Linked DNA regions of Daphnia pulex. The protein of the gene in region 5 interacts with the protein of the main gene of each other region in a biochemical or structural test. Links are inferred from orthologs where the notes say so. Each region holds a gene or a part of one and is shown on either strand. Other genes may lie near its edges.

Region 1 (3,933 bases), on a different chromosome or scaffold from region 5:
ATTGTCAACTGCAAGAATTGTTGATCTTTGATCTTCGTAACATAAAAAACAAAAGCCTTTAGACTTGCCTGTAACCTTGTCTCGTACTAAATTGATGTTTGCAACCTCTCCATACCTTAAAAAAAAATTTTAACTATTAATAGCAATAATAAACATCACTTAAGTATTAACCATACTGAGAAAAAATGCAGATGATGTCCCCCTCAGACAATTCATAAGGCAATCCTCCAATGAAAATCCAAGCACTGTCTTTGTATTGATAATGCCATGAAGCTTTTCCTGATATGTTGTACTTCAGTTCAGTCTCGCTGAGTTTCTTGATATTCTTCACATTCCTAAGAAAAAGGAAATAGCCATATTAATAATGAACTTATAATATATTCTAGTCTAATAAGGTAGCATATAATATGCTTCGTTCTACGCAGCACCAGCAGATAACATGATTCCAAACTATATTTATGTTGTCCAGTCCCTACATTACAACACCCCCACACAAAACCTTCGATAAGTTTTATTATATTTACCCTCACTATGTGTTAACATACTTTTTAAGTTAGCCATAAATCGAAAATTTCTCACAAATAATATTGATACAAGATTATGAGTTTATGAATGATGCAAAAGCTATGTAGTACTTACGTTAGTGGATTCATCTTCGTCCAACAGGAAAGTTCTCGTAGAGTTTAGTTTAACTTGAAGATGGGCATTATTGCAAGGTGAGGAGTACTTAAGTCAGGATCGAAATCCGAAAGAATAATAACTGGATGTATTTGATTGAATTATTTGAATTGCTTTTCTTATTTCCGATGGCAGTTAGCGAAATGCCACTTGCCAAACCAAAGCCAAAATATCAAGCAGACGATCACGTTCAAGGAAAGAAGGCATGTAAGACGTACCGAGTGCGCCTCTGGTGTTTAATATATGCATAAACATCTGCTATTATGATCTCCGTTGATTGCTTGAATATAGGAAAATAATTCATTTAATTTAGAAGTTAGAAATAAGTTTTCAAAGTATAAATTTACTCGAAACGATCAAGAAGTACAAAATATAATTCTCGTTCTTGATTTTCCGCTAGGTGTGCTATGTGTGCCCGAACCATGCTTCTGCTTCAGGCGATTTATTTTTGTGTTGTTGCTCTCTCTCAGCTGAGTTTTCACTGTCAGTGTTCAGTCTTCACTTCAGTGTTCGTCCAAAGTTCATCATTCAATCACTTTACCGAGAAAGTTAAATTTGTTTAGAATTTTCCAGCAGTATTCATAGAATAATTCACGGTTATTCCTCTGTTTAATATGGCTGGGGGGAGCCGTAAATACGGGAAAAAAGATGGAGATCGTTATGACGCGTCCAAGAAAAAATTTGCTGGTAAAAAACGAAAGGATTTTGAAGATGAGAGTGCTTATGATGAAGGCATACCGGATGGAAATGAAGCTGAGGGTGTGCCAGAAGCGGCAAAGCACTTCATTGAAGTTGAAGGTGAAAGGCAAGGGGAAGATGAATATGGAGCCAAAGATTATCGAGACTTGCAGCTTAAACCAGACCACATGTCTAGACCATTGTGGGTTGCTCCCAATGGCCACATCTTCCTGGAGTCATTCTCACCAGTCTACAAACACGCTCACGACTTTCTGATTGCAATAAGTGAACCAGTTTGTCGTCCAGAACACATACATGAGTACAAGTTGACTTCTTACTCATTGTATGCTGCCGTCAGTGTCGGGCTGCAAACTCATGACATCATAGAGTATTTAAAGCGCTTAAGCAAAACTGCTGTCCCTGATGGAATTGTAGACTTCATAAAGATCTCAACACTCTCTTACGGCAAAGTCAAATTAGTGTTGAAGCACAATCGCTATTTTGTTGAGTCTCAATATCCAGATGTCATCCAAAAATTGTTGAAAGATCCTGTAATTCAAGAATGCAGACTTCGTCACAGCGTGGAATCTTCAACAGATGGACTGATCACTCAAGTTCAATCAAAAGCAACGTCTATTCAATTTGGAAAACCTGGTACTTCAGGAGAGGAACCAGGAGAAGAAGGAAAGCAAGTGCCTGATGACATATCGAATTTTTACGACAAAATGGACAAGGATGAGGACGACGAAGATGATTCTTCTCTTCAAACGGTTGCATTTGAAGTAAATCAAGAAAAAATTGAAGTCATTCAAAAGCGATGTATTCAGCTAGAATACCCTTTGTTAGCGGAATATGATTTTCGTAACGACACTCATAATCAGGACATAAACATTGATTTGAGACCTGCAGCTGTATTGCGGCCTTACCAGGAAAAAAGCCTGCGAAAAATGTTTGGCAATGGTCGTGCTCGCTCTGGGCTCATTGTTTTGCCTTGTGGAGCTGGTAAAAGTTTGGTTGGTGTGACAGCCTGTTGTACAGTTCGAAAAAGAGCTTTAGTTCTGTGCAATTCTGGAGTTTCAGTCGAGCAGTGGAAAGCCCAGTTTAAGATGTGGTCTACTGCTGACGATAGTAAGAAGTTGTTAATATGTTTTTATCTTTACTTGATAAATAAATGTTTTTTTTTTTTTTTTCATTTCAGGTATGATCTGTCGTTTTACATCTGATGCAAAGGATAAGCCTCATGGATGCAGCATCATGATCACAACCTTTAACATGATAACACATCAGCAAAAACGTTCGTATGAGGCAGATCAAACGATGAAGTGGCTCCAGGAGCAGGAATGGGGTATTATGGTGTTGGACGAGGTGCACACTATTCCAGCTCGCATGTTTCGTCGTGTTTTGACCATTGTTCAAGCCCATTGCAAGCTTGGTTTGACAGCTACTCTCGTCCGCGAAGATGGTATTTGATTATTTTTACCTGTAATGTATTTATTTGTCTGATCAACGATTTTCTTTATCTTACAGACAAGATTGCAGACTTGAATTTTTTGATCGGACCAAAGCTGTACGAGGCTAATTGGTTGGAGCTGCAAAAACGTGGATTCATTGCTCGAGTACAATGCGCTGAAGTATGGTGTCCTATGAGCCCAGAATTCTATCGCGAGTATCTGGCCTGTAAATCCGCAAAGAAAATGCTTCTCTTCGTAATGAATCCTAACAAGTTTAGAGCCTGTCAGTTTCTTATTCGCTACCACGAGCGACGTAATGACAAAATCATCGTTTTTTCGGATAATGTGTATGCTCTTAAGCACTATGCGCTTACCATGAATAAGCCATTCATTTACGGTCCAACATCTCAGAACGAAAGGCTTCAAATTCTACAAAATTTCAAACTGAATCCGAAGGTGAACACAATTTTCGTCAGTAAGGTGGCTGATACTTCCTTCGATTTGCCTGATGCCAACGTGCTTATTCAAATATCCTCGCACGGTGGCTCTCGTCGTCAAGAAGCTCAACGTTTGGGGCGTATTCTTCGAGCCAAGAAAGGTGCCATTGCGGAGGAGTACAATGCGTTCTTCTACACGCTGGTATCGCAAGATACATTGGAAATGAGCTTCTCTCGTAAACGTCAGCGATTCTTGGTTAATCAAGGATACAGCTATAAAGTCATCACTCGCATGGCGGGCATGGATCAAGACCAGGAATTGAACTACAAGAGCAAGGAAGAGCAAGCCAACCTGCTACAAATGGTTCTGACAGCATCGGATATTGATGCAGATGAAGAGCGTGTACCCGGAGAAATTGGAGGTCGGCCTGGTCCATTTGGACGACGCGTTGGAACCATGGCATCAATGAGCGGTGCCGATGACGCAGTTTATATGGAATATAAACGCCCATCAGCTTCAAATAATTTATCCAAACACCCCCTTTTCAAGAAATACCGCACCAAGTAAAGATTTTCCAAGTCATAAAATGTGATTACTATATCTCAAAATTCATGTTGAATAAATACAGAAACTGGTTTAATACTTTTTATTTCTCACTTTTTTTTGGTGTCTGGTGACAGGTGTGTGA
Region 2 (5,688 bases), on a different chromosome or scaffold from region 5:
AAGGTGTATGTCTATTTACGCCCGTAATGATACTACTCGCAGCAACCAATGTATATGCGCCCAGCATACTTAAACAGCCCGAAAGAAAACGACGATGGTTGCCGACGACGACGACTTTCAGGGTAGGAACTTTTTTTAAAATAAGACCGATGGGGGTGGAGCAGGGAATATTCTTTGTGAGCTAACCGATGATTCCAATTTGGCCGACAGGTGACGGTTTTTTATTTTCTTATTTTTCTGTGTTATCTAGTGGGGGCAAGGTAGCATTTTATGATCGCCAATGAGCGATGTGGCGTTTATATATAGGTCAGATAATGCGCGACACATTTGTCATTTCTGTTTTAGTAGTCTGTACTTTTGCGATCAATTAGAAATTTCTCTATTCATAATTGTTGCAGATTGTTATTGTTATTGTAAAGATTAAAATAGACAGGATAACGTATTAAATCCAGTCACATGGGCGGTCACGGATCATCCTTCATATTTTTTCTCTTTAACTTTCATGGGTTCACTAATTAAAAAAAGTTGTTTTTTATTTTATTTTTATTTTTTGGCTTAGAGGGAGACGGTAGGAAGCTGGAGAATAGTAATTAAACTAATTAGAACTCACACATTGCAAGACGCAAGAGGCAAGAAAAATTAGCCGTGAAGACGAATGGCGAAATTAAATATTCATGATTTTATGTGTTCCTGGAAGAGTTGGTCTTGAAGCGATGGCATACTTGAGATTGTTGGCTGCACAACTTTACTTTCATAAAAGCTCATAAAATGTTTTCTTACTCTTTGATTTTATTATGAAATAAATAACAATGAAAGAATCATAGGTTGAATATGAAATATCTTTTAATAAATCGCAATAACCGAATTAATAGCCTAATATTTAATTCACACATTTTCTTAATCACCTTGAATGTACTAATTGGAATACAAATTGCAGTTTAAAGTGCGATAACCGCAACTTGGGTTATGACTTTTATTCTCTGTTCGTTTGCATTCGACAAGAATATTTAGACTCACTATAGCTTATACTCACCAGTGTAAAATGATCAAATTTAAAATAGCCTATTCGTTCTTTCTTCGGTAGATAATTTCTTTCAATTATCTTGGACTAGTGTATACAACTTTCAAACTAAAATATATGTTTCTATTCTCTCGCACTGTCCATTTCAAAGCGCAATCAAGTATGTTGTATATTCGATCACGGAGTGGAGTGCTGGCCTGGTCGTCAGCTTCTTGATTCCGCCACCAGCGGCCACCATGAGAAAGGGAAACCCGTTTAGAATTTCAAATTGCTGTGCTCTTTTTATTTTTACCGTTTCGCCATCTCTTGTTTAGACAAATCTATGTTATACATGTATAGCAATTCGTACTAGTGATAGAACTCAATTATAGTAAAAGGAGTTAGTGGACGGACATTGTCCCCCCACAAGACATCGCCTTAAGTACCAATCTAGTTGTTATAACTTTCTCGATTTCGTAGAATTGTTTGATTTTGAATCCAGTTACAAGTGGTAATACATATTCCGATCGAATCAGACCAACTAGTACAAAAAGAGGTTTCCCAGTTTCTGCTTTGTTTCAGAGGGCGATTATATACTTGGCCAGGCATTCCGGTGATTTCGTACTTATTAAAATTCCAAACATTCCGAATCACTTCTCACGGGGCGTTATGAAAAATACCACATTATTCCGCGTCTGAAAGTTACACAGATAGACGTCCTGATTTGCAAATTCCTATAAATCTAGAAAGGCAAGAAAATAATAATAATAATAATATTAGGGAATTCATACTGAAACAAATTTGAGATTTGAGCATTGAGATATGCAATCAGGGTTACATTTGAGGAGGAGTAAAAAGCTAAATGAAAAAATGTTGGCCAATCAAACTATTTCCTGTTAAAAGCTTATTAAAGGGATTGTGCAACAACAAATTTGATCAGTTATTTTTTTTAAGGCCATTAAATTTCCATGCCATTTCGATTTTTGGGGGGTTTTATTAAAGAAAAATGCGTTGACGAACTGATGGTTGCGTAAACTTATCTAATAAAACAAAAGAACGCGCTCTGGCGCGATTTATAGCAGACGATAGACTTGAAGACCTTTTCAGTTGTGTGACGTTGTCGATTGAAAGAAGAAACGATTACTTGTTTTATTAAAGCCGGCCAATATTTAGAACTACATTCTCTTGAATAGGTTTTTCTAGTACGTTGAAGCAGAATTTTTAAAACTGAAAACCATGGAGTCAAAGAAAAAGGAGAAAGAAAAAGAGAAAGACAAGGAGAAAGACAAAGATGTCATCGTTTATGAAAGGGAAATGGAAATGTCTTCAGCTAGTCGGGGTGTTTGGTTGGTGAAAGTACCAAAATACATTTCAAGTCGATGGGATAAATGCCCTGGAAATATTACAGCTGGACAACTGAATATTACTAGGTATGCATCAATTGGTTTATGTTAACAAATCGACAAATCCTTTATTAACTCATTACAACTCTTGTTCAGGGTGCAAGGACAAAAGTCTCAAGTCAAACTTATTCTGTCGGAAGCTATTATGTGTCTCCAGGAAAAAGGAGAGGAACCTATTCCTAAAGAGCATGGATTGATTGTTTCACACATTACTTCACAAACATTGGGTGTATTTTCTCAACAAACCAGTACGTACTACTTGACAGTTATGGGGAAGATTTTTATTTTAGGCCTGAGCTTAAAGCATGATATTTAAAGTGGCGTGCTTGCAATTAATCTAATTTAATATTGACATTTTTGTATTGTTTCCCCAGCTCCAGCCACCGCGAACTCACCTATGGAAACTGAGAAGATCATATTTGAAGGCAAAGTTGCCCAGAAGCTTGAATGTAGACCAACAGGTGAGACCAACAAAATAAAGTTCCTAAGCTTGAAGTGAGCATTAATGATTTTTATTTTCATCAGCAAATGCAAGTTACATGAAACTCAAAAGGGATTCTTTGATTAAAGCTGCCCAACCTACAAGAATTGTGAAGCAATTGGATCGAGTGGTTCAAAGTTACAAACCCATCTCTGACCACAAGCATAATGTAAATATAGCAATTCTCGTCTATTTTTGGTACATCATAACCTTTTATTCCTGATTACAGAAAGAATTCGACGAAAAGAAGAAAGCTGAGGGTAAGAAAGCCAGAGATGATAAGGGCAAAGTTATGGACATGCTGTTTGCAGCTTTTGAAAAGCATCAGTACTACAACATCAAGGACTTGGTAAAACTCACCAACCAACCTGTGGTAAGAAAAAGTTGTTTTCATACAAGCATTTGCACTTTTAAAACCCTCTGCTTTTATAGACCTACCTCAAGGAAATTTTGAAGGATGTTTGTGTATACAATTTGAAGAATCCTCACAAAAACATGTGGGAACTGAAACCGGAATACCGCCACTACAAAGATGAAGACAAGGACTAATAAGTAAACAGTCCATTAACTTTCTAATAAAGCTGTGATTTTCAGAAAACTACTAAACAGCTCTTGGATGCACATAACTTCAGATAACTCAAATGGGTTTCAACTGCCCTTGAAATTGTTCGATAAAATGTTCTCTTAGGCTACAATTTTCCCTTCGTCTAAAAATTCCCGTGCTAACAAGTGTGTGGTCCAATACATCGATGCGAACTTGAAAATTTTACCAATATAATTTATCCCAACCATATCAGGAAGAAATGATTTCATGAGCGAGTTCAGTGCGAAAAGTAGGCTTATGTGCTAACGAGGAACCCCTTTTAAACAGAATCGTAAGATTGTAAAAACAAGAATCAAGTAAAAGGTTACATGTTAATATTTACAGCTTTTCATGGTACCCTACTTACAGTTAACATTATATTATCTCAGTCAAAAGCCATAATCTATTAGAATAGCAACAGCCTGTCTCTTGATGAGATTCATCATCCAACCATGATTCAACCAACAATTTAACGCTGAATATAGTTATCTACAAATTAATTTGTTTTAATTTTCACTAGTTACAATTTGCCAGAATGTAATTTTAAAAATTGTTTATTTGTCAATATAGATACTATAAAATACACCAAACAGAATTATTTCACCAGGAAATCTGCAACTTCAGGTAGCGATGTGAGGGTTCCTGTACAACAACAGAATAAGAATTAGCATTTCAACATCATAGAAAACCATTTAAAGCACACTTCAACAAATTATCCACAGTGTGCCTCAGTGCCTTCAACATCAATTACTTTATGTTACTACTATCAAATGTTTTAATTCGGTTCAATCCATGTGTTCCAAATAAGGAGACAACGGTAGATCAGAATAAATTTTAATTTAGCATGTCCGCTTGGCCACTATAAGCTAAGTAGAGCTAGTGTGGTTCAAAGGAATGCAAAATTCAGTCTTAGTTGCATGAATTAAATAAGATATTTACCGAAACGAATACAAAACTGGCTAGCAGCAATCAAACCAGATGGGGGAGCTTCACATGCTTCAAATGGCGTTTTACAGTCCTACTTATAACATTTGATTTCGTCCAACGCTGTTGAATTTCGGACTTCCTGTCGGAGTTGACAGATGGAAAATCTACAATAAAACTTTTGAAATCTTTTAAACAAATATGAACCAATTAAACTTGTTTATAATTTATTATTTCTATAATGATAGTTGAAAAAATTTTAAAAAGCAAACTGAAATAAATTATGTGGGAAGATGAATTCCGAAAGAGGGGGTTGAGAAGGAGGCAATGCTGGGCTTGTCAACTTCGTCTACAGAAAAAGTACTGTGTATTCCTTCTTCCTCTCGTAGACCGGTCTTAAAATACGTGAAATGGCTACGGCTCAGATCTCGAAAAAACGAAAGGCAAGTAATTCTTTCAACACGTGAATCTTTTTCATCTTGTTCTCACATATTCACCGTTTGAATATTGAGGTGTTATTGATGAAATAGAACAGTTTCTAACCAGGATGTGAAAGATTTTGGAGGATAAAATTCGTCTTGGCTTGACATGTTTCTATTGTCAGTGTGCTTGAGTTTACCTAATTTTCTTATAATTTTGTATTACAGTTTGTGGCGGGAGGTGTCTTCAAGGCTGAATTGAACGCCTTCTTGACCCGTGAATTGGCCGAAGATGGTTATTCTGGAGTTGAGGTAATTCTTGTGAAATTATTTTGTTACTGTGTAGATATCTAAAACCCATTTTCCTATTAGGTGCGCCTTGCCCCCACTCGCACAGAAATCATCATTCTGGCTACACGTACCCAGAATGTTTTGGGTGAGAAAGGCCGTCGCATTCGCGAGTTGACATCTGTTGTCCAAAAGAGATTTGGCTTCCAAGAGGGAACTGTTGAGCTCTATGCTGAGAAGGTTGCTACTCGTGGCTTGTGTGCTATTGCCCAAGCTGAGTCCCTGCGCTACAAACTCATTGGTGGTTTGGCTGTTCGCAGGTAAGCTAATTCAATAGGCTGACGTTTAAATAGTGCATTTCTGATGTAATGTGTTGTTACACAGAGCTTGTTATGGTGTTCTCCGTTTCATCATGGAGTCTGGAGCTAAGGGTTGTGAAGTTGTTGTATCTGGCAAACTTCGAGGTCAGCGAGCCAAGAGCATGAAGTTCGTCGATGGTCTGATGATCCACAGTGGAGAACCCACCAACGTCTACGTCGACACTGCCGTCAGACACGTCTTGCTTCGCCAGGGTAATTTATTGTGCATTA
Region 3 (5,774 bases), on a different chromosome or scaffold from region 5:
GGTGTAATATCTTCATGATCGTGTTACGTTTCGGTGTCTGCATCAGTTTTTTTTTTTTTTTTTCCCTTAAATCTTTTTTAAAACATTTTTTTCTCAATCTTTGGCCGCGCTCTTTACTATTTTACCGCCTCTCTTCATTTTTTTTCCGCTTGAAATGATGAGAAATAACCAGGAGTTCCGTAAATCAGAAGACGCTAGTTAGACTCCTTTCCCCCGTTAAAAAAATGAAATACATACAGTGGCACCACTTCAATACAGCACAAATGATTTGTATTTTTAAATCATGAATTTAAATGTGACGAACGTGAAAATTGACTACATATTCGGAATTGGTTCTCTGAACACTTATGGCAAATGGATCTGTTGGATGAAACGTGAAAGCAACAAGGCGACGGGCAGAAGAAGGCGGAGCTGGCCGGCCAAGAATACCAGCATAAATGCGAAACCGCAGCAGTCCAGATTCACGGACGTAGAAACGAATGGGGTGCTCTCCACTAGTCTTTGGACGCTCCATGAGCGAAACCCATTTATCGTCATAGGAAAACAGCTGCAAATCAAGGTAAGGCGAAGAGGAATAGGATTGTGCTGAAATGGGAAGTTGTGAAAGAAGTCGTTTTGTGGCTTCCGTCTGCCCACCAAAGCGAGCGCTGACAATGGTCTGCTTGAATCGTTGATGAATGACGTTTGCAAATACGTTGCTGGACGGTGATCCTTGTGTTGCGTTGCGTAGTAAATCGCAAAAGTTCTCGAACAAGTTCAGTAGTTCCTGACTTGTGTTTTCATAGACGTTAATAACCTGTAAAACAATAATACGTGGGATTAAGTTTTTTTCTTTTAATTATAATCAAGATACCTGTGCGTTTTCCATATTGTAAACGACAAAGAAGGCCGGTTGCGTATTTGGGTCTGGAGCTCGTAGTGTAACCACATCTTCACTAGCATATTTCAGAAGCAAATGTGACTCATCCAACAACTGCATTTTCCAGATTCGGAGTGCGCGAATGTGATCAAAGTTCTGATAGAACTTTCGTACGTGAAAGAGATTCCCTTCGGCTTCAGCCATGTTGATTGCTCGTCGGTAGAGAAACACTAGTAAACGATGCTTGAGCGCGTTGACAGTTGCCTCTCGAAACGGACGAACCAACTGACCCGAAGGCCAAAGTCCCCGTACTTGATTGATTAACCATTCGTCATCGTCGAAACAAAATCGACCTATAGTTTTTACATCAGCAAAATAGCCATCGTGTGAAATTTTAAAAATGTGTATCGTTTGATGCTGGACAGAGAGAACTGCTAGAGTGTCTTCATACAAGTAAAGTCCTTGGTTGTGTGAGAGAAAGATTTTGTCGGTCTTCATTGTTCTAGTATCACAGAGCCTTCCATTGACGATGTCAACGATGTGAAGTGAGCAATCTTCTAGTGGAGAACGAGGATGAGGAGATACGGATTCATTATTACGGAAAATATCAAAAAAATTTGGCTGGGGCTCTTCGGGAACGTACGAGGCTGAACCGACAATAACAAATCTTCCGTCACCGACAAAGAGACTGCATTCGCGATTTAGTTGTTCACCAACAGGAGTTACAGCAATAGTATGCTTTAACTGGAAGAATTTAGAAAATACTTTACTTCTTAAATTTACAGCTTCATTGGTATCATTTCCAACAAACTCTCTCGTTCCTGGAACATCTGTAAGTAAATCTTCTACTGCACTTGGTCCAAGATATTTGTAAACTTCCACTGAAGTTTGATCTGAAGAGAATGCAATAAAGTACTTGCCGTTGGGTGTAAATTTTCTCAAATAGCATGGTGGCTTTTCTATGTTGACAATTGTAAAATTTGGGACAACACTTTGATAAAATGATCGGCAAATGTGATAGTTTCCGGGTTTGACATGAGTCTCTCGACGAATCAGTCGAATTACAACATTCTGCGAGGGAATTTTTCTAGGAGTCAACTCGAACTCACCATGGTCAGCCTGTCTATATTTGGGGTTCATCATTTTCAGAACCTTTTTTATTACTCGGCATTTTTACTACGTATCTGCAATTCCCATTTTATTCGCCGTGAATTTTAGAAGTTTCAGATTTTTAGTGATAAAGCACATGTGAAATAGAACTGAAGCAGGTTTGAGATGTCAAAATCCGAAACATTTTGTAGAACAGATCGATCTAGCGGTGGTAATAGAAAGATAAACAATAGTTTTTCACGCCACCTGTTGACGAGTGAAATTCCATTTTAAAATAATCGTTCTTGACGGGTGATTAAAAGTTGAAAGAAACTTTGAGTGTATGAATGAAAAATGCACGTGAGTGGAGAAAGAGAACCTAGACTTCAGCGATATGAAAAGATTGAATTTTTGGGAGAAGGACAGGTAAGGTTTTGATTGGCACTGTCTTTTGTGTATGTTCAACTGTTTTATTTTGTAATTTAGTTTGCGACAGTCTACAAGGCGAAAGATACTCTAAACGATAACAAAATAGTTGCCGTTAAAAAGGTTTAAAAAATGTGTTTTCATTTCAGCGTTTCCGGTTCGTTTATAAAATACTAACACTATTTCTGTTCAAGATTAAACTGGGTTCACGAGAAGAGGCTAGAGATGGAATCAATCGAACAGCTTTGAGAGAAATCAAGTTACTCCAAGAACTCAAGCATGACCATATAATTGGTTTACTTGATGTCTTTGGTCACCGTTCTAATGTATCTCTGGTGTTTGACTTTATGGATACTGATTTGGAGCAAATAATCAAGGACACAACCATCATTCTCACTCCAGCACACATTAAAGCTTACATTCTTATGACACTTCAAGGACTTGAATATCTCCATCTTCTATTTATTCTTCACAGAGTAATAATAATAATATATATTTTTCCCCTGTACATTATGACAGAAGTATGCACATTCTTTTTTTTTCAACTACCATTTTAGGATCTGAAACCTAACAATCTTCTTGTTGATCGTCAAGGAATACTGAAACTTGGTGATTTTGGTTTGGCAAAATCGTTTGCATCACCCACTCGTATCTACACTCACCAGGTTGTGACGAGGTGGTATAGGTAATTTGAAGAAATGCAACATAAATATTCAGCTGAAATTAAAATTGATCACACCTGAAACTAGGTGTCCAGAACTGTTGTTTGGTGCTCGAATGTACGGTACCGGTGTTGATGTATGGGCAGTAGGTTGCATAATGGCTGAACTTTTGCTTCGACTCCCCTTTTTACCTGGAGAATCTGACTTAGATCAACTTACACGTATTTTTACAACTTTGGGCACTCCAAACGAAGAGAATTGGCCAGTAAGTACATAAAACAATTTTGAACTCAACCGTCTCCCACCTTTAAACTCTAGTCATATTTCCTTGATTAGGGACTGCTTTCGCTACCAGATTTTGTTCAGTTTAAGGCTTTCCCCGTGATTCCAATGCGGCATATTTTCACCGCCGCCGGAGATGATTTGCTGCAGCTTTTGAGTCGTTTTTTGGCATTGCATCCTTTAGACAGGTGTACTTGTAGCGAAGCTTTGCAAATGCCGTATTTCAGGTATGTATTTTGATTAATTTTTAGATATAAAATTCTAAGTTTCTTCCTTAACAGCAATAAACCAGCTCCAGCTCCAGGATCATCTCTACCTCTACCTGCATCTCTAAGTCAAGCAGCAGTCGACAAAAGCGGAACAAAACGTAAAGTGACGGACAACGGGGAGGGAGGTTCATTAGCGAAACGTTTAGTTTTCTAATAAGTGGTTGAACCAATACATGTGTTTCTAATATAACCTCTAGGTTTATTTCCACCACTCTTGTTGATACAACTTTACAATTTCAGAAGCTTATGACACATTTGCTTATTTTCTGTACCACATCTGAATAGTCTTCATCCGTTTTACTTTTTTCTGTAACTGAAGGATGCCGTACATCAGCGCTTCGGCAGTAGGAGGGCAGCCAGGGACGTAGATGTCAACTGGGATAATCCTGTCGCAACCACGCACAACAGAATACGAATAATGGTAGTAGCCACCACCATTAGCGCAGCTTCCCATAGAAATTACCTGGAGATAAATAAATAAATTCATGATGCCTAATATCTGTGAGAAAGTGTTCCGGTTACCCAACGAGGTTCGGGCATCTGATCGTAAACTTTACGTAAAGCAGGAGCCATTTTGTTGGTAAGTGTACCAGCTACAATTATGACATCAGCCTGACGCGGAGAAGCACGAAATACCACACCATACCGATCCATGTCATATCGCGGAGCTGCAATGTGCATCATTTCTACAGCACAGCAGGCAAGCCCAAAGGTCAGAGGCCATAAAGATCCCTGAGAGCGAAAGTTGAATATTAAAATTTTTCCAGCTAATCCTTAATGATTAACTTCACATAATCTTTAATTTTTACCTTTCTTCCCCAATTGAGAAGATCATCAAGCCGGGCAACTGCATACTCTGCCATATTGTTGGTGTTTTGAAATGGAGAGTATGGTCTCTTTTTATCCAGGGCAGCTAAGAATATTCAAAGATAAGATGTTGGTAGTAAGAAGTGATCTCAAATGCCTAAAATGGAAGGAAAATTACCATTTCCTTCAGTTCCAGATTGGGGAACGGTGCTCTGATTCCGTTTCAGTACGATAGAAGTCATGGACAAACTCGACGGTACTGAGACACTGCTGTTAATCCCTAAGGACTTCACTAGGGCGCCATTCAATGTTCCACGTAGGGCAAGCATATTCTTAAACTGTAAATTAATCGATCAACAAAGTAAAAAACTTGATTTCCAAGAGTCGCCAGTAAATATTTTACGGCTACGCTCTACAGTTCTGGGCACTAGCAGACAAATTTCTATGAGTAAAGAATCAGAGAAAAAGAAGGACAACGTTGTCAAATTTAATTAAAAATTAATTTAATTTAATTTCAATTAATTTATAATATTATTTATTTGAAATTTATGTTTATGTAAATTTATTATTTATCATGATTTGCATGTTTACAGTGACCCCGAGGAGTTTCGTATTGCGTAACGAAGTTCCCTATCCCTAGGAATTTATATCAAATGACTCAGTGGGCGTCTGCTGGCTTTGAGATTTGTGATAATTCGAGTCCTTCAAATTGGTTCTGAACTTTAACAGATGAACAAGGGATTGAATTGATGGCTTGAGAAAAATGACTAATTTAGTACTGGTGTTTGCTGCTTTAAATCTATTACCTCTTTTTGTGTTGGTTTTATCTGCAGACTACTATACGTTCTTGGATGGTGAACAAAAAAATTACGATCGTAATGTAAATATCTTGTTTACCTACACTTGTTTTTCAAGCTTCCTTTCCTAGTTTATTTGTGACATTGCTACTTAACACAGCAATAAATCATTTTTTGTTTACAGGTTACCACTACAATAAACCCAAAATGCCCCACAAATGAATGTGTGAATTTCACTCTTGTTCATGTTCAACAAGAAGGAATTGCTGATGTTCTCCATCACATTTGGACCATGGAAAATGTTCCCACTTTCTTTTACGCCAGAACAGAATTGAATACTGAAATGTTGATTGATTGGGAAAAGATGTTGTCAGGAAACTACAGTCAAGCCATAAGCTTTAACAAGGAACCACAATATTTTGCTGCAGTTCTTATATTCAAAGTATACAAATACTTAAATTTACACCCTTACAACTACTTAAACTCTTATTGCAGTTTTTTATGTATAATGATCTCAATGATACTGGTGTGATTCCAGAAACAGACAACTTTGACATCGTTTCATACAGTACCAAGAAGATGT
Region 4 (6,527 bases), on a different chromosome or scaffold from region 5:
AATTGCACAATTCCTTTGGAAATTCCAATTCTGTCAAATAGATTCTGGGAAGAGAAAGTATAGAGTAGACGACTTTGATAAAAAACAAACAACTGAACAAGTGCAGACGACAACCGTTCACTAGAGACATCTGCTGGAATTTTTAGATTAATAACAGAGCGCGAGTGAGACAGCTATACAGACCGAGCTCTTGAGTCTTGACATTCAAGATTTGAAATTTTGAATCTTTCTTTTTTAGTTCTCGTCATTTTTGTCAGAAATGCTTCTTATCAAGGAAAATCATATGTGGAAAAATAAACCCATTGCCATTTTTCACAATGAATTGAATAACGACGTACTTATAGAAAGACTCGAACGATCTTTTCAAATACATTGTAAGATAGTGAGCTAAAGAATGAATAATAATATAATCACTTACCGATACTAAGGTATGTTAACTAATATTGAATCCATTTGGTCAGACTCAGAAAGCTTGGTGCCATTCTCTTGCTATTTCCCAGCATCCCAAGCCACATTCCTGCTTATCGACTTTAAATGTTACTTTCAGCACTGGACAGAAGATGAAGCCTACGATGAGGAGAAAATTAATTGGTGAGTGTTTGATTCATGCATACTTCTTTAACTGCAGAATTTCAACTTTGTGTTAATTAGGCTAACTAAATTTGTCAATACCAATGATGGACCTCACTTTATATATCTATGTCCACAAGTTGATGAACTCTTGATTTCTGTCACATATGATATTCAAAGAAGGTTTGCATGTTATGATAAAATTTGTGCTGAAACTAAAGTATCCAATTCTTAGTATTGAGACAATGGTCATGAATAAGACTGTATCATTTGGATTTGCTCCATCCTGGAAAGCTGCTGCAAATTATATGAAAGAAGCTGCTAATGTAGGTTACTTTATGTTTGTAGTTTTTGATACACTTTTAATGTTTATTTTCCGAGTCCAGAAATTCTCCGTCGAAAGTGTCGCCGAATATTCCGCCGATTATCAGAAAGATATTGAATTCTTGATTGAAAACGCGAAAAGGGCTTGCACAGACGACGAAGCAGACATGTCAAAGCGACTTCAAGTTTTCTCTCTATAGTATTCTGAACGAATATCCAGCACCTTGCTCACCACCAAGAAATGTTAACTTGTCAGTTCAATGGCTGTTTTTCATCTAAAAATGTGAAGTGTTTCCAATAACAGATAACTTGTTGAAATAATACCAAAACTTACAACTGCAAATTTGTTTAATCGTTCCGAAAATCACGCATTTTAACAACCGTTCTAGTCCGTTTTTATAAACCGTAAAGGGAAGGCCTGAGATAATTTCAGTAAAGTAGCAATAGTGATTGCAGCACAAACAGAACACACCAATCATCGTTATTGTCGCTAAGCCTTAATCGACAAATACATCTTCCCTTTAATTGTCTGCTTCACGGGGTTGATCTTCTTCAAAATTTGTGCAATGTGATGGACAAGCTGGTCCGACGACAAACCAGTTTTCTTGCTTTTGAACTTCTGAAGCAATTCGGTCGTTGTCATTGGCTTGCGGGATAAATAACGTCTAACAGACTCTTCATTGACTCCTTCATTGGCACTGTAAAAGAAAAAATATACATAACGTTTCAGGATTAATTTTAGTTCATTATTTATAAATACCTAGATGATGATGCAGCTGAAGCGGCAGAGGCAGCTGAAGCAGCGGATGCCATGTCCAATCGAGGTTTCTTTGTTGCTTGGCCAGTAAGAGCATCGGACACTGCAGGTGTTCCCTTTCGCTTGCTATCTGATAGCGTTGTTTTAGGCGGCGATGTTTCAGGTTTCGTCGGAGTAGCTGATCTAGAACTGTTGGCACTCCCCCTAGAAATAGTTTGTCAGTTAACTGTCAGGAAACCAAATTACTGCACTTACGGTTTCATTTTTGGGCTCGGTTTAGCTTTCTCCAGTTCGGATGCTGAGCTCTCGGCACCGCTGTCGCTTGACGATCCTGATAAATGTTTCGTTATTATTTGACTCAAACACACGATGTTTTTAAATGGATATTACCATAATCCTCGTTGCGGGGCTTTTTATCCTTGTTCTTCTTTTTTTCTTTCTTCTTCTTTTTGTCGCCTTTTTCGTCTTTGGAAGCCTTATCACCTTGCTGGTCTTCGGCACCTTCAGCATCTTCCTCTTCTTTGTCTTTGTCTTCTTCTTCCTCCTTTTCTTCGTCTTCATCTTCTTCGTCCGAGTTAAGCAACTTGCGGAGAGCATCCTCTTCGGCAACACCCTTTAGTCCGTCCTTTGCTTCTTCTTTCTCGAAATCACTAGATTAAAGAACAACGCGGGTGTGTTAGAAAATCGACAAATGCATCAAGATTAATGACATACCTTTCGTCATCGTCGGAAGAGGAAATGTAATCCAACTCTCTGCCTTCACCATCACCATCATCGCTATCTTCGATAGCTTCATCATCGGACGCATTCTTTCGCTTCTTCTTCGGCTTAACAGGTTTCTTGCCTTTCTTCTTCTTTTTCTTACTTTCTCCATCATCGTCGTCGTTATCATCATTGCCGTCGCTAGAATCGTCATCGGAAGATGCCATCATATCGTCCAATTCATCACCAAAACGAGAATCTGAATGCAAAAGTTGTTATAATTTTGTGACATTATTTATGGTGGAACTTTTGCTTGTTGCCTACCTTTAGCTCCCTTCTTTTTCTTGCCTTTCTTTCCTTTGCCTTCACCTTCTTCCTCGCCCTCTTCTTCGGCGTCTTCATCGTCTTTCCTTAGTCTCTTTCTCATCATGACATTGAACATGTTGTATGTTTTGTTCCTCATGTTGTACCCTTCCTCTGCTTCTTCAATACTCAGTGGTTTGTAATTTTGAACTGCTTGAAAACTGTATTGTTCTTGCACAGGAAAGGCATCAAACACACCATCTGGTGCTTGCGTAAAAACGTAGTACGATGCATTTTCATTAATGCCACCATCTCTTACTCCTGTTTAATAAAATAAATATAATTGCACATTACTAAACTTTCTTATTGCTATCTTAGCTTGGTTTCCAACTTTAGTATACCTCTGAACTTTTTCCCACTTTTTCCCCCATGTTGTAAAATCCAAGGCTGGTTTTCAGGATTATACTTTTTGCTTATTATGCCATACTTCTTCCGTCTAGCTTCCTCACGAGCCTCTCTGCCATATTCACTCCCAGCACCAAACTTTGGCATATCTTCATTGAACCCTTTGAATGTGACTTGGTTGTTTTCCCTTTCCATTTTTGGATCTTTCCATTGTACAAAGTCAATACCCATTGAGCCATTGAATCTCATGATGGCAAGCTTTTTGTTTATGTTCCTGTGACAACATTATAAACTCGGTTTAAGAAGGCAAAAATCTAGATGGTAATGTCTGATATTCTTACTTGGGGACTCGAATGTCAATAGTCTGAACATTAGAAGCAGCAGCGGCAGGAGCTGATCCACCAGCAGCTGGAGTCTAATGTAACACATATTATTATGTTGAACTAATTAATTAAAAACCAAAATGTCTTTACCCTGGTAGCAGCAGGAGTTGATCCACCAGTAGGAGTCTTGAGAAACACATGTATTAATATTGAATTAACTGATTGAGAAGACAAAAAAATTGTACCTTGTTAACAGCAGACATTATGATGTGACGGTGAAAAACGATTGACAAAACAACTTCTCACCGGCGACACAATGATCGAGACACACCACCGATGTGTTCGTCACAAGTTCGTCACGAATGGTAAATAACTAACCCAACTATGCACGTTACTAAATTATAGGCCAAAATTAAGGGGTGGTGATCGAAATTTCTATGCCAAAAAATATTGGGACACTTTAAACAGCGCCAACGAATTTTATACCCGACCCGATACTGAAGAAAAATAGTCGACGACGACCCAGTTCAGTTTTCGTCTGCTTCAGTTCTTTTCTTTTCACGTCGAGACTGCACTGTCGACTTCCCGCCTTGAACCACATGATAAATTGTGAAAGGCTATTTCTCACTTACCTTATTAAAATATCCAAAAATGGCCAATCAAAAAGTTTTTTTATAAAGAGGTCTAAATTGTTAAGTAATATTACAAGTAAAGTAAATGATTATTCATTTTTCAACTATTGAAGTTCGTTAGTTCCAATTTTGGTCGCCATGGAATTAGATTACCTATCTATTCTCAACTGCCTAATTCGTTTTTCGTCATTTATTTTCTTTCTGTTGTGGAAAGCGTTCGTCATGGTGTTATCGTTCTCTGGGAGAAAAATATATGGAATAGTTTACCATGCATTTGTTGTGTACAGGAAAAGATTCCTGAATGTTGTTCCTAAGAAACCAGCTCTAGTTTCAAGAAACATTGGTAAGTTGCCTAATTTTTGAATTCATGTAACAAAAACAATCAATAACTTGTTAATCTGCAGGATGGATGCTGGGTTTGTTACCTGCAGTCTCTGCTAGTGTAAAAGTTGATGAAGAAAGAGAAAATAAGACCAATCTTATTTCTGAAGCTGATGTCTTGTACAATGAGCATTCCTACACCAAATTGAGAAGTCTTCTGTTGCCCTACAAGGTAATAAGAATAAACTGATTTGTCAGTCTCTGTTTTAATGTTGGAAAAACTTTTTTTAGGCCGAAGATAATGCCGAAATTCTTTGGCGACTGGCACGAGCGACGTATGAAGTAGCGAAATTATCGTCCAGTCCAATTGAACAAAAAGAATTAGATTTTGAAGCATACGGTTATGTTGAAGGGGCGCTGCTCATTGATCCGGAAAACTTTGCTGCTCACAAGTGGATGTTTATTTTGTTAGATAAAAAGGCGTCCTACGAGGGCTTAAAGGAGCGCATTTCTCAATCGTTTGTCGTCAAGAAACACATAGAAAGAGCGTGTGAACTCAACCCAAAGGATGCAACTTCATTTCATTTGCTAGGCTACTGGTATGACAAGATAACAACTTTTCTTTTGTATGTAACGTAACACATTTTCGTGCAACTTTAGGTGCTTTTCTGTTGCTGAATTGCCGTGGCTTCAGAGGCAAATTGCCTCAACCTTGTTTGCTACACCGCCCGTATCTTCTTACGAAGAGGCACTGCAGTATTTCCTAAGAGCGGAAGAAGTTGAGCCGAATTTTTACAGGTACGGCTTGGTTTAATTTTTCATTTTTCTAAATAATTGTGCATTTTGAATGGTTTCGTTTCAGTACGAATTTATTGATGCTGGGGAAAACATATTTGCGGCTCAACAATAAAGAAAAAGCTATCGCTTATTTGACCAGAGCTCGAGATTATGCTATCGCCTCGTCAGAAGATTTGGAGGTGACATATAACGCATTAACCTTTTCTACATTTTATTGTTTGATAAAAATGGTTTTACATTGATATCATAGGCCAAACACGAGGCAGTCAAGCTATTAAATTCCATCAGATAGGCCGCTGGCTCCAAGGACGCTCGAGGATATTTACCCATATCCTTCCACATAAAGAAAAATGTATGCGCCTCTTCTGTTTACCTTGAAATTTAATCAAAAATGTTTGTTTTTTTATTATTAAATGATTTCCTTGTGTGTGTGTTATCGGTACAACATGCAATAGTGCAACAGTTTCCCAAATTTCCCCGTGCGTGTTTACGAATACAAAGTTCATTCACTTGTTCTCGATAGGTCCGATAGGTAGCGTTGCGTGTCACCACAGCCCGAAATGTGCCGAGCTAGAATCCCCGCCAGCCATATGAAGGGAAAGGATACGACGTATGTGTTATCTGTACGTGACGGTCCGTCGGCATTGTGAGTTGCTTCGTGTAGTTCTGAGCTTGTGGACTTGTTTATTTGACTGTGTCTGCTAGGTCAGGAGTTTGTTTCTACAAGTTTTTACTTTGTTTCATCTCTTCCCTGTTGGATTCAACTAAAAGAAAATCCTGTTTTCTTTAATTAGGCAAAACAGGTGGTTGTGGAAATTTTCTGGCAGTCTGTTTGGCGATCACGTGAAAAGTAAGTCCTCGATTATTTTCGTTCACTATCATTCGTGTGTGTGTCTGCTTGGAATCTAAAATTGTGTACAACTCCGCCTGGTTGTATGGCAACCGAACTGGTTCGTTCGTCTGGCGTCTGTAAATCAACAGATAACCAACTGCGTATACAATTCGTGCGGGTAGAGATAAAACGAAGGCAATAGTATATGACACACTTTGGCATTGTGTGTAGGTGTAAGTGGAAGCTACTATTTCAGAGGGAAAGTCCCGCGTTGCGCACGAGCCTTGAGGGGCCCAGGACGGGGAGTTCACCTGTTGGAATATGCGCACACAATTCCTAATAGGGAAATTTAAGGAGAGGTTTCGTGAGAGCCAACAGTTATTTGCCTACACGTTGAAACGTCCCGGCACTCAGACTGTGTTGTTACGCATCGATAGTTTTACGGGTCCGCGTGACGTAACCCCTACGGTTATCCAACCGAGACTGGCCAATTGGAAAACGCCGCGCTGGAAGAAGACGGATCGACACTTATATGGCCGAAAATGAAATGCACCCAAAGA
Region 5 (6,365 bases):
TACAAACAGAAACCAAAAAAACACTCCATAGCTCTTTGCATATCCCAAAAGTAGAAGTATCGCGGGGAAAGATGAAACGCGCTGGCTGCTGTGGTGCCGGGGTAGCGTTTTCCCACGATTTCTACACGACTCTATCGCGCCTGGCGCAGACGGCCATCCGATTCGATGACTCAATTGATTCGCTGCTGCTTTACATGACCCTTTCCCACGCCATCGTCTTCGGTTAAAAGGCGGCACCTCTCACTACACGCCTCGACACGTCTCCAACCGATGCCGACCACTTTGGCAATTTCACTTCGTGTTAAAACAAAACATTTTGGACGAACGTCGTCGAGATGGCGGCAATAAATTTCAAAAAAAAAAGACAGATTTGGGTTTTTTTGTACAGTTATTTCCAAATAGTTTTCAAGCATTTACAAATGTTTCATTTTAAAAATTGTCAACGGGTTATGTTCTGTCTAGTTATGAGAAGCCGGTTCCCGTGCCAAATGAGGGTTGGATTATTAAGATATCAATGGATAACAAGTCGTAATCGGGATTACAACGTGTTCATGAACCTTTTTTAAAAGTACAAAGTGATTACGTGATGATCCAAATTTAGGGGAGGTTTGAAATTGTATGCGGATTTCGGGGTTCGCTTTAAAATATTGAGTGGGAAGGCGGAATATTTTGACAGTTAGTGTAGGCGTGGGAGCGCGGCGTTGAGGATTGATCGTCGTCTTCCACCCCTTTTTTCTCCATCATGAAAAGATGGCCAGTCCCCAAAGATTTGCCAATATTATACGGCAGTCATCGGATCAGCTCTTAATTCGATGCCCCCAAACTATCAACTGGGTTTTTCATTCCTTTTTTTTCCAGATGAAAAAGAAAAACTTTATTTTTTTAAATTTTCCCAGGCATCTGATTTTCTATTGCCAAAACTAATTCAGGTGTCTTGTAGGAAAAATCGAGAAAGAGTTGTTTAGGCAGCAACGATTTTCAGGTTGTTTGGTGGTGGTGGTGTTGGGGGAGTTGTCCTGCTGGACTGCGCGTTGCTGGGCTGCGGGTGATGCTGCTGCTGCGCACACAAGCACACAGCTCCCGTTCGGCCATTGGCTTTTTATTGTTGGCTATGATGTGACCTTTGACCGCCCCCCGCGCCGACAAAGGATGCCGACGTGCGCAGACAATGGCCACCGCGCCTCTCAAAAAGTGCCGCCCATGCAGCCTCGTTTCTTCATTTCTACGTTTTCAAAATGTCTTTTCTTTTTTCAATCTGTGTCTTCTTACAACTCTCTCTCCATCTCGTATAGAGTATAGCCTACGGGCCCTTACATATAGTAGACCTAATGGCATCTTTAGATGGGACTCTAATGCGTCCTCCCTCCCCCCCCCCCCTACCAACACTCTAAAGAGTCGAATGTCATACATGGAACGCGTCGGAAAACATGTTGTCGGGACACACCTTTTCTCCTCTCTTTCTACACTTTTTCCACATGTGTACGTATAGTACACTTATAGAGTCAATCAAAACAAATCGCCCACCTTTACGTATAATATGATAAACATATTCTACGGACGGTCGGTTACATCCGGCCTGACGTTTTTTTCACTTATCAGAAAAAGGAAATTATTTGCTCGTTAAGACTTATCTCGCAACAAGCACATGTGGGTCAAATAAAAGTTTGTCGGCCGACAAGAAAAACCGCTTGTGCTTTTCTTCCTTCATCCGTGACTCGGGCTCAGAAACGAATTGGGAATTGTGTACAGGAAATTCTCACAAGATAAAAGATTATAAGGGGCGGTAAAAGCAAATGTTTCGAGATTGTTGTTCAAGATACGTGCAGGGGAGATCTACATACAATGTTGTACGCCGGTGGTACATATTAATTGCAAAGTTTACTACTGACTCTGAATGAATATGACGCAATCTCCATGCAATTGCGGCTGCATCAAACGAAGCCGGTGGATAGTTAAATATATAAACAACCAGTGACCACGTCTTGCGTGGTATATTGATGTAATAAGCGCTTTCCCTCGTTTTCCCTTTGATTCTATTTGAATTATTCGGGATGGAATAATTCAAACGAACCGCGCACGCGTCATGCACGAGGAACATCCATAAAAGAACACCGGAAAGGACAATTTCGATTGCGTCGGCACATTCAATTAACATACGTGCATCATCCCCACTTTTAAAATGATTTTGAAATCAAAAGCGTAGATTTATTATTTAAAAAAAAAAGATTTGATAAAAATCTTACGTTCTAAATTCAATTTTTGAATAAAAGGGCGTAAAATTTAATCAAAGTGTAATCGAATCTGTAGCGTTTGTAAATTTTTTGTTTTTAGAAGTCTCAAGTCTCACAAATGCAAAACGGAAGAAGAAACGAAAGAGAGGAGAAAACGGAAAAGGAAGAATATTTTTTCTTTGCCTTTCGCACACAGTACCTTGAGAAAATAGAGATTGAGACAACCAGGGACCATCTGGCGAGAAGCAGACAAGTTACACCAGGAACACTCGAAACAGCCAGAGTACAAATTTGTCGAGAGGTAGCGATGGTTAATCCAGGTAGCCCATCCTTTCCATGTATTCTTGGTGGAGCTGGACGTAGGCATCCTTTTCGGAGGGCGTCATGCGGGCAACCTGTTCCGATGGAACTTCGTGAACAGGGAATTCCAAGTTTCCAACTCTCACCATAGGAACTTCTTCTTCCGAGTCACTGTCCATCAGCTCGACATCACCTAAGAAGAAAAACAAACATTTACATTTGAACTATTCCAATAACGAAATTCGATTCTTACTGTCGTATTGCACTTGGCGTTGGATAGTATTGGTAGCCGGAGTAATCTGTTCAAGAAGAGATCTTGCGGCCGCTTCGTCATCACTTGAATCGGCTGGAACAGCGGCCTTTGTAGTTGGTTTTTCGAGTTCCATAAGAACGGACATAATGTCTTCTTGGTTGCGATTCTTCTCCGTAGAGAGAGTAGGTAGCTCCATCTGGACAAAATTAATATTCATTGATAAGATGTCACTTTAAAAATAGACTGTATAATAGAATCCAGTTTTACCTCGTCAATGATCGCAGGTCCAGCAATATTGTCATTGGCGCTGGTAGCAGCTTCATTATCGACGGTACTTTCTCTCATCCATATGGGTGCCTCCTTGCGAACCTCTCCTTTCTTGACAACAGCATTATCACCGATAGTGACGTCGACGCGTTGTTCATCCAGTCGGAAAACACCTCCTCTGGTTGCCTCTCCCGACCAATTTTCGCCCATGGCTCCCCTGGATTTGGGTTTTCCATCGGCATCCCTAATGCAAATAGTGAGAGATTAAGATTTGTAGATAAGGCATAGGATTGGGAAAATTCACCTTTGCAGATGAGAAATGTCAGTCGGTTCTGGTTCAAGCAAGGCTGGGGCCAGTTTCACGTCCTCAACTTCTCTTAGCAATTTGTACAAAGGCTCCATTTGGTCGTTGAACCGAGCCATGAGCTGCCGTGAATCTGTCTTGGGTATGGCTGATTCGTCTTCAACAACCACTGCACCACAGAAATTGCATTTGAATTCCCCACTTGGGTCAGCAGGATTAAATAGTCTGTCAGCTTCCAAATCAGTGAAATTCTTTTTGCAGCACGGACAGTGAAAACTTGCTCTGCTTGTGGCATCTCTTTCAGAAGTTTCCATCTTCTTTCTCATATGATCCAACTTGTATTTGACAATATTGACAAAAATCTATAAATATAAATTATTACATTAACTTCAATTATAACACAGTTTCACCACAGATTACCTTGTAATTAATGTAAAAGTAGTTTACTTTCTGAGATTTCCCATCCACTGTTTCCATCTTCAAGCGTGTTTGAAGAAATTTGTCATTCCGTAGGGTTGAAATCCTACCTCTCAACATTTTACGCTCAAATTTTAATAAGTCTGCAATGTCATCCTCCTTCATACCTGATATAAAATTGAAGGTTCAATTGAAAAGTTTCAGTGACAAAAAATACAATACATACATGGATTTCTGACAAGCATGTCAATGATCAAAGCGTCCTCAATCGTATAGAATGCCCTGGCAACCAGTCGAGCCAACTGTTTTAAGCTGCTCGGTACTTCGTGGACGTATCCGTCATCCATCGCAGTTATTCAGAGAGAAGAAGTCTTATAAATTAAAGTTTTTCAATTGAGTGAGTGTGTATAAACATTAGACTCTGAAGAAAGAAAGCAACATCAAACAATCTCAAATATATCGTCTGCTATTTAGGCGGCTTTTCTTGAAATTGCCACATTGCCACGTATGCTGCATCTACAACATTTTTTATTATTTTGCATTTTGCTTTTTTTTTGCCTCGCGGGATTTTGCGTGCCTGTTACCGTGTTACGCAATATCGATTGGAATAGGCCTTACATTTATACATTACATTGAATGGCAAATCTTGAGATACATGTAATAATAAATTGCATGACTGATCATCAAATCGTTAGTAAGTGAATTCATTATGAATATTTAAAAACAGACTCGAAACACCTGTGAAGTGTGTAGGCAAGGCAGGCATTCTTGCTCCGATCTGGCTTCAATTATTCAACATCAATTTTTAAAATTAATTAGGTTTAAATTTATTTCTAGTGTTTTTTTTTTAACTAATTACAAGAGATAGAGAAGAAGAGATTACTCATTGTTTAGTTTAAACTCTTGGAAAAGTGGCCTGTGGGTTGTTAAATAGGTTTGTTAAATAAATTCTGCTGTTCGACGTGAACCACCCGAAAATCGAATATAGTATATATGTATATATGCTTCACTGTTTCAACATATTCAATCTTTATTCTTTATGATTCACCACTGTAGGCTACATTATTCATAAACTATAGAATGCCACAAAAGTGTTTTGTATGAGCCTTTTTAATCATTGTTCATCAATTATCATGGGGTTGCAATTCTGCATTTGTTTACCAATGCTAGAAATTCTCCACACTTGAAAATTGAAACTCTTCAAGACTTTGGTGTTGAAGCAGAATATTCTTTCCTTCCTCGAAACCTTTGCCTATTATCAAGCTGATAAAGAAAGATTATTTTTAGATTTCCTATTTATGTGAACAACATTATAATTATTATTTACAATAGAACGTTTGCATTCAAAGAATGACTGCCTAAGTTGATGACACTCAGCAGGAACGGATGGATGATTTTCTAAGAGGCATTGGCGGGGTGTTTTCTTTTCCTGGAAAATTCATATTATTTTTAGTTCCGGAATTTTAAAAAGATCCACTTCGTGTGACTCATTATTTTTCATAACAACACGTAGACATATACCTTTTTGAAGCAATCTGTGTTCTGAATACAGAACTTCAAGTCTTCGCGCAAGGCGCTGCATGGCCTCGTATCTACCACTAACTGTTCGGGTTCGTAGAAACTCTGAGGCATTTTACTTAAGATTGCCGAAAATAAGATATATCTTAAATCAGTAACAGATATATTTTAACCAGTCACTATAGAGATCTTTTTGGAATTACGACCAAAGTCTAACTGAATACTGAAATCCGTGAAAAGTTCGTCTGCTTTGAGTGTCAACAAGACAACAACGCTATGTAGTTAATAAACAGCATCCGATATTCCGATCAGGCGATCATAGATTTATAGACTAAAATTTTTTATGTTTACCATAAAAGTTTAAATTAAATTCTTTCCTGTTTAAAAATCAAAGGTTCCAAAATCAAAATACACAAAAGCATTATTACAAAGAAGTGTATTTCATTTTCAAATTAAGCGATCGGATCCAATGGTCGATTAAAACCTCCTTTCCTATTCATATACTGTCGGTATTTTCGCTTGAGGACAACTTGAACTGTTCCGTGCATTGGCTCTTCATTTCCTTGGACATGTTTTCCTTTAGTTGTATCAAAAGTACCAAAGCCCATCAACTTCATCATTTCAGCTTCTTCTTCAGTTGGATCAATGAATTCTTCTGACGTTACTGGTTTTCTGGTGACTAATTTGGCAGGCTTCTCTCTGGATCTTGATCTGCTTCTTGTCTTTGATTTTTTGGTTCTTCTTTCCTTGCTTGCAGATCTTCTCCTTCGGTCTCTGTCTCTTTCATGCTCACGGCTTGATTTGCTTGGCTTTTCACGGTCTCTGTCTCTATCCCTAGACCTTTCTTTGTCTCTTTCACGTTCCTTGTCCACCTTACCACGTTCTCTATCTCGATCACGTCGACTGCGATCTCGTGAACGAGATCTATCGCGAACTTTTTCTCTTGACCTCGAGCGTTGTCTTCTTCGAGACGATGGCGAGACGCTCTTTTCTCTTCCTCTGCCCATGTTGAATTCAAACTGATTATCTGCATGATAAATTAAAATATAACAAATGGAATTCTCTCTATCAATTA

The links.
Region 1: the proteins of general transcription factor IIE subunit 1-like (region 5) and general transcription and DNA repair factor IIH helicase subunit XPB-like form a complex in vitro, tested with the Homo sapiens proteins (2 studies listed by BioGRID). The link is inferred for Daphnia pulex from reciprocal best matches to the Homo sapiens genes GTF2E1 and ERCC3.
Region 2: the proteins of general transcription factor IIE subunit 1-like (region 5) and general transcription factor IIF subunit 2-like form a complex in vitro, tested with the Homo sapiens proteins (2 studies listed by BioGRID). The link is inferred for Daphnia pulex from reciprocal best matches to the Homo sapiens genes GTF2E1 and GTF2F2.
Region 3: of the proteins of general transcription factor IIE subunit 1-like (region 5) and cyclin-dependent kinase 7-like, one has a biochemical effect on the other in vitro, tested with the Homo sapiens proteins (3 studies listed by BioGRID, with this or other methods). The link is inferred for Daphnia pulex from reciprocal best matches to the Homo sapiens genes GTF2E1 and CDK7.
Region 4: the proteins of general transcription factor IIE subunit 1-like (region 5) and general transcription factor IIF subunit 1-like form a complex in vitro, tested with the Homo sapiens proteins (3 studies listed by BioGRID). The link is inferred for Daphnia pulex from reciprocal best matches to the Homo sapiens genes GTF2E1 and GTF2F1.

Annotation. Positions count from the first base shown.
Region 1 is NC_060020.1:5,844,935-5,848,867, forward strand, and holds general transcription and DNA repair factor IIH helicase subunit XPB-like, read left to right. Parts: upstream 1-1,133; 5' UTR 1,134-1,292; coding exon 1,293-2,484; intron 2,485-2,554; coding exon 2,555-2,818; intron 2,819-2,883; coding exon 2,884-3,812; 3' UTR 3,813-3,887; downstream 3,888-3,933. Other genes in the region: RNA-binding motif protein, X-linked 2-like, read right to left, coding at 1-115, 177-335, 640-653. UniProt on the Homo sapiens protein: ATP-dependent 3'-5' DNA helicase/translocase. Binds dsDNA rather than ssDNA, unzipping it in a translocase rather than classical helicase activity. Component of the general transcription and DNA repair factor IIH (TFIIH) core complex.
Region 2 is NC_060025.1:405,337-411,024, forward strand, and holds general transcription factor IIF subunit 2-like, read left to right. Parts: upstream 1-2,082; 5' UTR 2,083-2,236; coding exon 2,237-2,430; intron 2,431-2,499; coding exon 2,500-2,651; intron 2,652-2,777; coding exon 2,778-2,864; intron 2,865-2,928; coding exon 2,929-3,053; intron 3,054-3,113; coding exon 3,114-3,257; intron 3,258-3,316; coding exon 3,317-3,433; 3' UTR 3,434-3,648; downstream 3,649-5,688. Other genes in the region: 40S ribosomal protein S3-A-like, read left to right, coding at 4,802-4,834, 5,039-5,122, 5,183-5,418, 5,483-5,670. UniProt on the Homo sapiens protein: TFIIF is a general transcription initiation factor that binds to RNA polymerase II and helps to recruit it to the initiation complex in collaboration with TFIIB.
Region 3 is NC_060020.1:945,600-951,373, forward strand, and holds cyclin-dependent kinase 7-like, read left to right. Parts: upstream 1-2,228; 5' UTR 2,229-2,302; coding exon 2,303-2,374; intron 2,375-2,434; coding exon 2,435-2,497; intron 2,498-2,568; coding exon 2,569-2,850; intron 2,851-2,931; coding exon 2,932-3,059; intron 3,060-3,123; coding exon 3,124-3,301; intron 3,302-3,372; coding exon 3,373-3,545; intron 3,546-3,599; coding exon 3,600-3,741; 3' UTR 3,742-3,777; downstream 3,778-5,774. Other genes in the region: DET1 homolog, read right to left, coding at 290-796, 854-2,002; NADH-quinone oxidoreductase subunit B 2-like, read right to left, coding at 3,847-4,050, 4,110-4,319, 4,397-4,500, 4,573-4,723; glycosylated lysosomal membrane protein A-like, read left to right, coding at 5,158-5,274, 5,376-5,633, 5,687-5,774. UniProt on the Homo sapiens protein: Serine/threonine kinase involved in cell cycle control and in RNA polymerase II-mediated RNA transcription. Cyclin-dependent kinases (CDKs) are activated by the binding to a cyclin and mediate the progression through the cell cycle.
Region 4 is NC_060018.1:349,240-355,766, forward strand, and holds general transcription factor IIF subunit 1-like, read right to left. Parts: upstream 3,957-6,527; 5' UTR 3,648-3,956; coding exon 3,630-3,647; intron 3,571-3,629; coding exon 3,535-3,570; intron 3,477-3,534; coding exon 3,403-3,476; intron 3,336-3,402; coding exon 3,058-3,335; intron 2,978-3,057; coding exon 2,678-2,977; intron 2,613-2,677; coding exon 2,366-2,612; intron 2,302-2,365; coding exon 2,042-2,301; intron 1,983-2,041; coding exon 1,907-1,982; intron 1,856-1,906; coding exon 1,655-1,855; intron 1,593-1,654; coding exon 1,385-1,592; 3' UTR 1,225-1,384; downstream 1-1,224. Other genes in the region: uncharacterized protein LOC124188758, read left to right, coding at 260-374, 462-591, 652-753, 806-896, 957-1,094; regulator of microtubule dynamics protein 1-like, read left to right, coding at 3,984-4,066, 4,130-4,359, 4,421-4,569, 4,629-4,936, 4,998-5,135, 5,200-5,314, 5,386-5,427. UniProt on the Homo sapiens protein: TFIIF is a general transcription initiation factor that binds to RNA polymerase II and helps to recruit it to the initiation complex in collaboration with TFIIB. It promotes transcription elongation.
Region 5 is NC_060024.1:11,575,344-11,581,708, forward strand, and holds general transcription factor IIE subunit 1-like, read right to left. Parts: upstream 4,248-6,365; 5' UTR 4,120-4,247; coding exon 3,999-4,119; intron 3,940-3,998; coding exon 3,776-3,939; intron 3,718-3,775; coding exon 3,356-3,717; intron 3,296-3,355; coding exon 3,052-3,295; intron 2,981-3,051; coding exon 2,785-2,980; intron 2,725-2,784; coding exon 2,543-2,724; 3' UTR 2,275-2,542; downstream 1-2,274. Other genes in the region: cytochrome c oxidase assembly factor 5-like, read right to left, coding at 4,973-5,035, 5,100-5,201, 5,294-5,404.